2 linked regions of the Mus musculus genome follow. The protein of the gene in region 2 purifies or fractionates together with the protein of the main gene of each other region. This does not show direct contact. Links are inferred from orthologs where the notes say so. Each region holds a gene or a part of one and is shown on either strand. Other genes may lie near its edges.

Region 1 (4,027 bases), on a different chromosome or scaffold from region 2:
TACAGTACAAAAAAAATCTTTATCTTACAGTACTAGTTTTGTCTCCGAAATTTCAAAACGTGGCGTGGTGGGCTGGAGGCAAGAAGAATACAGGGAAGACTGCTTGGGAGAAGGAAGGACGACCCCGTGTCTTGTTCCTCTGGAGGGATGGGGGGGGGGGCGCTCTCTCTCTCTCATGCACGCGCGCGCGCGCGCGCACACACACACACAGGATGACTCAGGTGAATGCACGTATGGATGGGATGCAGGTACCCCCCTCTCTCTCTCTCTCATGCACGCGCGCGCGCACACACACACACACACAGGATGACTCAGGTGAATGCACGTATGGATGGGATGCAGGTCCTCTCTCTCTCTCTCTCTCTCTCTCTCTCTCTCTCTCGTGCACGCACACATACACAGGATGACTCCGGTGAGTGCACGTATGGATGGGATGCAGGTACCTCTCTCTCTCTCTCTCTCTCTCTCTCTCTCTCTCTCTCTCTCTCTCTCTCTCTCGTGCACGCACACATACACAGGATGACTCCGGTGAGTGCACGTATGGATGGGATGTAGGTACTTTGGGACACTGGCTTGAGTCCTTGCTTCCTAATCTTTCAGGCTCTGTGGGCAACAGGATGAGAGTTGAGCCTTTCAGAAGATCTCTCCCGGCTCTGAGTGCCCCGGACAGTGATCCACGAAGCCAATCAGACAAGACCTTGTTTTCAGATGTTACCAGTGCATCAACCTAGAAGCCCAGTCCTAGGCAACACTCATGTATCCCCTGTCCTGGCTTGTGCCAGGGGGACGTTGTACCTTATAGCCCACCTTCCCCTAGAAAACCCACGCCCCATTCCAAATCTCTAGCCAACGTGGAAGCAGGAAGGTGGGGAGGCCTTTGTGACTCAAAATAACTTAGGCAAGAATTGTCAGGGGAACTGGGTTAGTGCCCCTTAGAGGTGGAGGTCGGCGGTCAGGCTGCTCTCCTGGAAGTGGGGTTGGGGGCACTCTATGAGGGCTGCAGAAGCAGCCCGGTGTTATCTGTTCAACGTCCTGGCACCGAGGCCACCATTGTGACTAGAGGGTGGGAAGGCGTCAGGCCTGTGCAGGGGCGCTGGGGATGTGGGGGTGCCAGGCGTGGGCCCCGTATGGGGGTATGGGCCTGCGGGTGTCCGGCCGGGGGCCTGCTGCAGGTTAAGGATGCTGTCGATGGCACTCTGCAAATGCTCAGTAAGTGTATCATCCTGCGGGCTGTCACTAGAGAAGCTGGCCTGGTCCACGTCCGGGGACTCAGACTTGCGTCGTTTGGCTGGGGGTAGCACGGGTGCTTCCCAACTGGGTTCAGTGGGGCCCTGGCTGGTAGCGGAGGCTGGAGTCTCCGGGGGTGGTGGGCCGCCCTTCAGAACCCGCTGATATAGTTCATCCTCCACCGCTGCCAGCTCCCGGATCAGCCCACTGGTGGCTTCGTCTACCTTGGTGGGCAGTGGGGTGGGGCTGCCCGCACCCCGCGGCCGTCCCTGTGCACCCTCGGCGGCACCAGGATTGCCCATGTTTTCTCGGTAGGTCTTGCGTAGTGGTAGACGTGGGCAGGACGCAGGCACCGTGGGTTTGCGTACTGCGGGTGGGGGATGGTCCAGAGTGCCATTCATCTGCGCCTGGGTAGCAGGAGGGAGTGGGGGCGGAGCTGGGTGTGGCGGAGGCTCCGCCCCTTTCGCTGGGGTTGGAGCCGGCAAGGGCTGATGCACAGGATCCAGTGCAGTGTTGTGCACCACCTTGCTGAGCCCCGCCTCTTGTTTGATCTTGAGTTTGAGACCAATGCGGCTCCGGGCCTCATAGGTCTTGATGGGTGGCCGGTTACGGGTGGGCATGGGGCCGTCCTCATCTGCGTCCAGGGATGAGGCAGCAGAGGATGAGGAGGAGGATGAGGAAGTGGATGACAAGGAGGAGGATGCCCGGGCCCAGGTCACTGAGGGAGAGCCGCCGGCCCCACCGTGCCGGATCACTAGCTTGGTGGGCAGATGAGGAGGGGGCTGGGCAGACGTTCCAGATGTGGAGGATGAAGACGACTGGCCATGGCTGGGGAGCCGGTGGCCCTCGGAAGACACTGGGACAGGGAAGCCAAGGGAGCGGGAGGAAGACACGTACTCATCTGTAGAGTTGGGACAAAAGAAACCATGGGGTCGTTATCTAAGATGACGGAGGTACTTGTACACTGACCATCTTATCTTCTGGTCCAGACTGAGTCTAGACCAGTGGTTCTCAACCTGTGACTGGCAATTCCTGTGGGGTTTGAACAACCCTTTCATAGGGGTTGTACATCAAATATCATGCATATCAGGCATTTACATTACAATACATAACAGTAGCAAAGTTACAGCTATGAAGTAGCTAGCAATGAAAATAATTTTATGGTTGGGTGTCAGGAACTGTATTAAAGGGTGGCTGCATTAGGAAGGTCTGGACTGAGCTGATTCTCGGGCCACTCACTCTGCAGGCTCCCTTTACGAACAGCCCCCGAACCACCCCCTAAAGCTTCACGGCTCAACCAAGGTTACATGTGTGTGAAATGAACAATAAGAATTTAAAACAGGGCTGGAGAGAGTGCTCAGCGGTTAAAAGAGCACTGACTGATCTTCTGAAAAGCCCGAGTTCAAATCCCAGCAAACACAGGGTAGCTCACAACCACCTGTAATGAGATCTGACGCCCTCTTCTGGTGCATCTGAAGACAGCTACAGTGTACTTACATATAATAATAAATACATCTTTAGGCCAGAGTGTCTAGGACCAGAGTGAGTGGGGTCAAACAAAGCGAGCAACCTTTATTCCCAGCAACCACATGATGGCTCACAACCATCAGTATAGCTACAGTGTACTCAGAAACATAAAATAAGTAAAATAAATCTAAAAAAAAAAAAAAGTTAAAACAAAAAGTACGTCCTTATGGGGCTAGAGAGATGCTCTTAACCTCTAAGCACTGACTGCTTTTTCAACATCCAGAGTTCAATTCCCAGGTGGCTCACAACCATCTGTAATGGGATCTGATGCCCTCTTCTGGTGCGTCTGAAGACAGCTACAGTGTACTCATAAATACAATAAATAAATATTTTATTTTAAAAAAGTGCAGTCCCAAGCCGGGTGTAGTGGTCTACATCTGCCATCCTGGCTTCTCAGAAGACAGACAGGGAGGATCTGCAGTACAGAAGCCGGCCTGGCACTTAGTGAGATCCTGGTTTTAGAAAAATGAAGTCTAAAACAAAACAGTATTAGAGTGTGGCTCAGTGGTAGACCCTTGCCTAGAATCCTCCAGTGAGGGGCTGGGGGCGTGGCTCAGTGGTAGAGCCTCTGCCTAGAATCCTCCAGTGAGGGGCTGGGGGCGTGGCTCCACAATACAGCCATAGCCTATCTTGAGTTTAAACACTAGCGCCTCAAAAACAAGTATTCCCAGGTTACGTCCTTGTTTTCTGATGTGCTAGGCTTGTGCTCCCTGTAAGGCATGCGTATAACCCCTGGTAGGTTGTTTGACTCATTCCCATGTTGCCTATCAGACTTGTTACAGAAATTCTTGCGCATGAACACAGGGTCCTGTGTAGAGTCACTAGGTATACTCAGAAGACACATCACCTTCCTAATGACAGAAAGCTCTAGAATATACCCCGAAGGATTCAGAAAGATTACACACTAGTGTCCTGATTCCTGTGAGTACCCGAGAAGGCCAGGGCTGGGGAAGGGGGAAGATGAATGCTGCCGGTGTTGTCGTTGTTGTTTAAAGAGAATAATGGTACTTGGAGCTGAATGTAGAAAGCTTACGGGGTCTTTGAAAAAGCCAGGGTCTGGGGTGTGACTGCATGCTTTCCTTGAACCAAGGGTAAGGCTTGCAAGGGTTAAGGCTCATTCTTAAGACTGGTAGAAGCACCTGGTCTACAAAGTTTAGCCCAGGACAGCCAGGGCTAAACAAAGAAACCCTGTCTCGAAAAACCAAAAAAAAAAAAAAAAAAAAGACTGGGCACAGAGTAGGTGTGGCAGAGACCTTTTTTGTGCCTCAGCCCT
Region 2 (7,539 bases):
AAAGGAGTCTTGACCAGAGTCCTCTCCCAGCCTCTATCTCATCTTTTTATTTTAACAAAATTAAACTAATATAAAGAGAGAGAGAGAGAGAGAGAGAGAGAGAGAGAGAGAGAGATCAGCCGCGACCTCAGGCTGCCCCTCTGCTCCACGCTGCCGCCCCCAGCTCCAAGCCTGAATTCTGTCTGTCTGGCTGTATGTCATCTGAGTGTCCACCTACATTCTGCTGCCTCCAGTCACCAAAGCCCCCTCCTAGTGAGGGGTGGAGGGGATCTCTAGGGTCTGAAATTTGGCCCCAAACCAGAGAATGTACCTTAAGGGAGAGGGCTGGTGTGGGGGCTTCCCTAGCCTTAAGAGATGCTCTCAGCCGGGTGACTCCCCACGAGCCCAAGTCTCCAGGTAAGGACTCCGTGCCCAGTTACTGCTCCCTCAAGCATACGGAATCTTTACGGGGCAGAGGATTTCCTGAAGAAGTAGAGATTGGGACTCCATGTGGCCCTGGTGCTGTAGGCCACATCCCAATATCTGTAAGTCACCTCCACCCCAAAGCTGCTGGAGAGAGATCCCAAGAGGCAACCCTCTGTGACATCCCCCAGAAGACCTGGCTGGTTAGCGCCCGGCTCAGGGAGAGGGGCACGGCCGCCTGACCTCACTGGCTTCTCTCTCAGAGGCCTTTGCAGAAGGCCACATCCATAAATTTTCTTATGGAACAATCCCAAGTCCTCTTCCCCGACGTCATCCGCTTCTCTCGGCAACCTCATCTGCATTTTCTATTTCTATATGATACAGACTCTATATTACTATAACCTTGTATATACTCCCCTCCGGCCCTGTTTGTCTCCCCCTCCATTCCCTCTTGTCTCCAAGAACCGCCCTCCCGCCCCTAGTTCTCCCTTCTGTCTCTCCCCCATTCTCCTGTCTCTGAATGCCTTTGCCCGTATAAAGAGCTGGATTCTCCCCTGGTGTCTGTACTGTACTGTGTACACACATCCCTCTGAGAAGCACAAGGAGATGACACGCGCATTGTAACCTTCGCACTGTCTCGGTGGCGACATAAAGGAAGCTGTGAATTACAAGCTCTGCCTCTTTCTGGCCTCGCCCTTTGCCCCCACGACCGGGGCACCCTCTGCCCTCCCCACAGCCTTAACATACCCTCTACCTTGCTCCACCTATCCCAGTGCCCTTTGCCTGGCTGACTGTGGCCTCCCTGAGGGAAGTGACTGCTGGAGAGGTAGCTCCTACCCAGGAATGGAGGACACTAAGCGGAGAGAGTTACAGACGGGAGGTGGGGAGGGAGGCTGGGGATTGGTGACTCCCTCTTGCAGCTGGGCGGTGGGTACCCACAGCCAGAAGCCGGAGCCCTGACTCAGTGGCCTTTCTTTCTTCGGGGTGCCCAGGGCCCAGTCCTCACCTTGATGCCCAGGCCCACCGCTTGCATTTTCTGGTGAGTCAGGGCGTGGTCACATGAGGAAAGAGATTGGCCTAGAGCAGAAGTTGAAAGACGTGCTGTTGTGTGTCCCTACCCTAAGGGGGCCACAAGGTGAGGTAGAGGGCCTCCTCAACCAGACACCCTTCCCAGGCCAGCTCTCCAATCTCATTCCTGGCCTTCTCTGTCCCCACTGTCTCTTGGTCTCTAATCCCAAAACAGGACTTATGGGCAGATCACCTGTGTACGTTGGCCTGGAGCCAGAGAGCAAGGCTTTGGCATCTTTGAGACCTCTTGGTTCTCAAGAGTTGTTTAGAGATCAGAACTCCCCAGAAAGAAACAGGGCAAAGCTGAGAAATGTACACTGGCTGGGGGGGCAGCAGGAGGGGCTCTGGGTGACGCATGCCTCTGGTCTAATAAACTGGGTTTCAACCATCTCTTCAGTGTTGGTTTTCTGTTTGTTGTTTGGTTTGTTTTGAGACAGGGTTTCTCTGTGTAGCCCTGGCTGTCCTGGAACGGCTCTGTAGTCCAGGCTGGCCTCGAACTCTCACAGAGATCCTCCTGCCTCCCAAAATGCTGGGATTAAAAGCCTGAGCTGCCATTATCCTGCCCAGTGCTGTTTTTAGTTGCAAACTGTGGGTGTTACCTTTAGAATGGAGCTTGCCTTGAGAGCCACACAACTAGAGTAAGGGAATTTGAGTGGTAGCCCGGTGTGGTGGTTATACCTGTAATTCCAGCAGGTAGGAGATGGAGCAGCTATCTTCCATTACACAGTGAGTTTAACGCTAGATTGGGCTACACCAGACCCTACATACTTGATCAGGTAAACACTGATCCTGCTGGGAAAAGACAGGCTCAGGATTCGTCTGATCACTGGGCAGGGGACCAGCAGTTATCTATGGCAACAAATATCCAGGACTCTTTGGAGAAAAGTCACGGGAAAAAACGCATCAAAATCTTAAGTTAAACGTCTGAGGTGAAGGGTCCCGAGCCTTCTCTGTGTATCCCTGGCTGTCCTGGAACTCACTCTGTAGACCAGGCTGGCCTCGAACTCAGAAATCCGCCTGCCTCTGCCTCCCAAGTGCTGGGATTAAAGGCGTGCGCCACCACGGCCCGGCATGGGTTTTCTCTTGCTGATTTGTCTTTGCCACGACATTGATCTCCTTCGAGTTCTACTTTTCCCGAACGAACAAACAGCACGTTTTCCTCTTTAGTACCCGGAGTCTGAGCAGTAGGAGAACGAAAAGCAAGGCAACCAGAATGCTTTGGAGAGGTAAATGCACTGGGCCAAGGTGAAGCATCACTCCAGCCGCCAGCCGGATGGGCTGGGCTCTCTGCAAGGCTTTTTACCGTCCTCCAACCGCGTGGAGGCGCTCGCTCCCGGCACCTCTTTATCCGCACACCGCTTCTCTATGGTGCTCCCTCCTGGCCCGTGAAGGCGGGAGGGAGTGGTCAGCACGCCTTTCCCGCTAGTCGCCCCCTCTAGCCCGTAGTCTCGCTGCTCCGAGCCGCCTGTGCCCGCCGGCGGGCCGGGCCCACAAACAGCCCAGGCGCTCGGGGGGCGCGCGGGGGGCGGGGGGAGTTCCGGTTCCGGTTCTTTGTGCAGCTGCAGCGGCGGCTCCGGGAAGATGGCGGCCCGGGCGGGTTTCCAGTCTGTGGCTCCGAGCGGCGGCGCGGGAGCCTCAGGAGGAGCGGGCGTGGCGGCTGCTCTGGGCCCGGGCGGAACTCCCGGGCCTCCCGTGCGAATGGGCCCGGCGCCGGGTCAAGGGCTGTACCGCTCTCCGATGCCCGGGGCGGCCTATCCGGTGAGTGGGACAGGAGGAGGGGCGCGCGGGCCGGGGGCGGGGCCGAGCGAGGGCGGAGGACTGACAGGGGTGAGGGAGAAGTGGGAGGGACTCCCTGGGGAGGGGCTCGGGCCGGGAGTGGAGGTGTGTGGGGGGGGAGGAGGTTAGCATCCTTACCTGCTCCTGGCGGCATTGTTTCCATGTGAGGAGTGAGTGTGGAACCAGGGTGGGCGAAGTGGGCCCTGGGATGGTCATGGAATGCAGAGGGGAGTGGGCAGCCCCCGTGTCCCCAGGAATACCCAGGCTGTTATAGCTGCAAATGGAGGTCAGCTTTAGAGGAGACAGTAGCTAGTAAAAAAAGAAATGTAGGGCTGACTAGACATGTCTGGTGAGTCAGATCCAGCATAGACCAGAAAAATTGAGTATAATCTAGTTTTTAGACTATATGCAATGAAATCACTGAAGGTCCAGTGACTGTATTTCAAAGAAGCAAAGGACTGTCTTGTTGTCCCCCCACCCCACCCCCAGCCCTAACCCACTCCTGAAATCCAGGCTGCCACCATTTTTCCTTTCTTGGTGGGGCTAGCAAGGAAAAGTATGACATTTCTGGGTCCTCTCCCTTCTGTAGAGACCAGGTATGCTGCCAGGTAGCCGAATGACACCTCAGGGACCTTCCATGGGACCTCCTGGCTATGGGGGGAACCCTTCAGTCCGACCTGGTCTGGCCCAGTCAGGGATGGACCAGTCCCGCAAGAGACCTGCACCTCAACAGATCCAGCAGGTCCAGCAGCAGGCGGTCCAAAATCGAAATCACAAGTAAGATGACCCCTGGGGGTGAAGGAAAGAAGGGTATGGGGGAGAGGAGGCCTGTGAGGATGCTGGTGGTGGGCATGCAGAACCAGGAAGTCAGCGCTGTGGCACCAAACGGTGCTGCAGGGACTAACAGGGCCTCATGATGCAGTGGAGTTTTGGTGGTCATGGGAGAGGTAGCGTCTTTAAATGGAGAGTCATTTCGTAGGCCTTGGCTGTAACCATAAACAAAGGTGCTCACAACACTGCTCACGTTCTGACTAGTTCCTATCCCAACCTGATCACAGTATTTATTCTGAACAGTGCAAAGAAAAAGAAGATGGCTGACAAAATCCTACCTCAAAGGGTGAGTGCAGCTGCAGAGGTCTCCTTGAAGGGGTAGTGGCTTTGAGAATAGAAGTGGTCAGAACGAGGGCTGCCCCATCCCATCTCTGTCTTTCTGTTCCTAAGATTCGGGAACTGGTCCCAGAATCACAGGCCTACATGGATCTCCTGGCTTTTGAAAGGAAACTGGACCAGACTATTATGAGGAAGCGGCTAGATATCCAGGAGGCCTTGAAACGTCCCATCAAGGTAACAGGACAGTACCAGGCTGAGGGTCAAGGGAGGGGCCCAGGTCTCTCTCCAGCTCAGGATGGAAAAATCAAAGGCACAGCACAGCTCTCTGTGGCATTTAAATTGCATCTTTCCCTTCCGCCTACAAACCAGGAATTACATTAGGAGCATAGGAGTCTAACAGCTGGCAGGGAAAGGGGCGGGGGTGGGGGGTTGGGGGGGAGCTATCCAGGGCTCTAGACAGAAATAGACCCGTGCGCGCTTTTTGCTGTAACCACTTGCTACCTTGGGAACATGCCACTTTGCACAATTTTGTCTCCCTAGTCCCCTGGTGCATTCACTTGCACCCAGGCTCAGGTCGGGACTGTACACTTCCGAGTGGAGTCTCTGTCCCCTGTAGTGAGCCAGCCAGTGAGGAGTCACTTGGGAGTTTTAGGGGACCTTTACTACCGAAGCTCCACTGTCGATCCTGTTTCTGCCTTCCTCAGCAAAAACGGAAGCTGCGAATTTTCATTTCTAACACGTTCAATCCGGCTAAGTCGGACGCGGAGGATGGGGAAGGGACGGTGGCTTCCTGGGAGCTCCGGGTAGAAGGCCGGCTCCTGGAGGACGTGAGTTCAAGGTCCACTGTGGTTGGTGCTCAGGGAGGGAGCTGCAGGGGTGGCACTGTGCCGGGTGCTTGGTGCGGTGTGCTCAGCAGGAAACCTGACTGCAGTTCACCACTCCTGCTGGGAGCTTCCGGGAGGGGGCTGGGGGGCTGTGTTCCCTGCATACAAAGACAATGGTCCTTTGTGTCTGCTTCCTCAGCTGCACGGTTTTGTCCTGGGGTCTGGGTTGCTGTTGACTTGGCCCTGGTGATGCTGCCCTTTGGATTTAGCAGTATCAGTGGATGATCTCAGTGGTCCCCATCCCTGCCCGCCACCCATCTGTGCTGAGCCTTTGAGGCCATGTTTCCTCCCTTGAATCCTTGAGGTTATTTCTGTGTTCCCAACTTTCCTTGGAGGTACCACAGTTTAAGTGTGAGAGTCCCCCAAAGGCTTGGCTCTCTGTTGCTCCAAGGGGATCATCAGACTAATGAGCACCCCCAAACTCTCCACCCAGCAGCTCATGCTCACCCAGTGCTGCGCTCTGGCACTATATTTAGCTGTGCAAGTGAGCTCGTTCGAGTGCACTTTTGCTGGAGAACCAGAGCCTCCTGTGGGTAGTCCGGGCTGTTTGCTGGTCATGTGTTCTGTCCAGATAAAGGCAGATTTTGTTCCACTGCCTTTTGCCTGTGATTCATTTGCCCTCTGCTGCCAGGCTCTTCTCTGTTCCAGTGTGCTTTGTTGTGTTAATGGTCGGGCTTAACTTGCCTCCCTTCTCAGTCGGAAGTCGGAGACCCTGCCATTGTTAGTGCACTGCTGTGGCCAGGACTGACTTAGTGGCTGCCTAGCCATAACCAGAAGATATTTCCCCAGTGGAGTTAGAAATTGCTTCTTTTTTTTTTTTTTTTTTTTTTTTAGATTTATTTATTTATTTATTTATTTATTTATTATATGTAAGTACACTGTAGCTGTCTTCAGACAGCTACAGAAGAGGGCGTCAGATCTCATTATGGGTGGTTGTGAGCCACCATGTGGTTGCTGGGATTTGAACTTCGGACCTTCGGAAGAGCAGTCGGGTGCTCTTACCCACTGAGCCATCTCACCAGCCCTAGAAATTGCTTCTTAAGGAACTCCATCCTGGGGACTTCTTTCTGGCCTTGTGTAACAACACACTCCACCCACTCCCCATCTCTTTTCTAGGCGGCCTTGTCCAAATATGACGCCACCAAGCAAAAGAGAAAGTTCTCTTCCTTTTTTAAGTCCTTGGTGATCGAACTGGACAAAGACCTCTATGGCCCAGACAACCATCTGGTAGAAGTGAGTAGTTCTGCCTTCCAGGCCTTAACATTTTCAGGGGATGATTAGCCCAGGTTCACACATTGGCCTCTAGGCGGCGCTAGCTGTGCTGAGTTGGGCCCCAGGAGCTCTTGGTAACTGATTTGACTCACTTGTTGCTGTCCAGACTGCTGCCCCCAAAGAGATCTTGGTAGAGTGGAGTCCTTACACTTTCAACTGTCTCTGCGTCTTCCTTTAAGTATTGGTGGGCTGTAGTAACTGACGTGTTTTATTTTCTTGATAGCAGTTTCTGTAGCTAATGGGTGACTCGTAGACTAATAGAGCACTAGCTTGTCTGGGTTACTGATCTGTACCTTCCTCTTGGCCCCTGATCCTTTAGATTTATCCTTCAGACAGCCAGGAACACTTAACGCCTGGTTGTACAATGCTTCAAAGACTGTTAGCTGTTAGCAACAGGGTTGTGGGGACATAAACTAGAGTGGCCTAGTGCTCTCTGGGGACTTAACCTGCCCCTTTCTTTACCACCGTAGCTGCAGCCCCTTATCTCCAGCCACTAAGAGACATGGGAAGTAAGTCACAGAGTTGGTAGAAATCTGTAAAGTGCTTGATTTGATAGCATAGCAGTAGTGTAGAGTAGCTAGACCTGTGGCCTAGAGTCAGCTCAAGTTCTAGCTCTGTAACGTACTGAATGTAGTGTGTCGTAGACTCATAGACAGCTTAGCCCTCAGTAAATTGAAGCTTAGGTTTCTTTTTTTTTTTTTTTTTTTTTTTTTTTTTTTTTAATATCCAAAACGTGTTTATTGGGAAGGTTCCCACTCATCTTCAATCAGGGGCTTTCAGTGCTGCTTCCTCCTGAAGGAGCATCCTTCTGTCAGCCTTGCTTTTCCACCTGTAGGCTGACAGAGGACAGTGGAGCAGCCAACACACAAGACTACCGTTTGTGCATGGCTAAAGACCGTGGTGATTTTATAGCATCCTGGGCATTTCACGTCCATAAAGTAGGAATTGGGGCTCTGCACCAGGCGCTTTTTTTTGTGTTTCCTCTTCTCCTCTTCTGGAGCGGGATGAAGGAGATCCTTTGCGAGAG

Evidence for each region.
Region 1: the proteins of Smarcd1 (region 2) and Bicra purify together in Homo sapiens (affinity purification with mass spectrometry; 5 studies listed by BioGRID and IntAct, counting the BioPlex papers as one, with this or other methods). This does not show direct contact. The link is inferred for Mus musculus from reciprocal best matches to the Homo sapiens genes SMARCD1 and BICRA.

The regions. Positions count from the first base shown.
Region 1 is NC_000073.6:15,970,762-15,974,788, forward strand, and holds the end of Bicra (BRD4-interacting chromatin-remodeling complex-associated protein), read right to left. Parts: intron 2,129-4,027; coding exon 1,017-2,128; 3' UTR 501-1,016; downstream 1-500. UniProt on the Homo sapiens protein: Component of SWI/SNF chromatin remodeling subcomplex GBAF that carries out key enzymatic activities, changing chromatin structure by altering DNA-histone contacts within a nucleosome in an ATP-dependent manner.
Region 2 is NC_000081.6:99,699,271-99,706,809, forward strand, and holds the start of Smarcd1 (SWI/SNF-related matrix-associated actin-dependent regulator of chromatin subfamily D member 1), read left to right. Parts: upstream 1-3,016; 5' UTR 3,017-3,051; coding exon 3,052-3,228; exon of another isoform or gene 3,229-3,520; intron 3,521-3,835; coding exon 3,836-4,023; exon of another isoform or gene 4,024-4,232; intron 4,233-4,320; coding exon 4,321-4,363; exon of another isoform or gene 4,364-4,467; coding exon 4,468-4,590; intron 4,591-5,060; coding exon 5,061-5,183; intron 5,184-6,356; coding exon 6,357-6,473; intron 6,474-7,234; exon of another isoform or gene 7,235-7,539. UniProt on the Homo sapiens protein: Involved in transcriptional activation and repression of select genes by chromatin remodeling (alteration of DNA-nucleosome topology).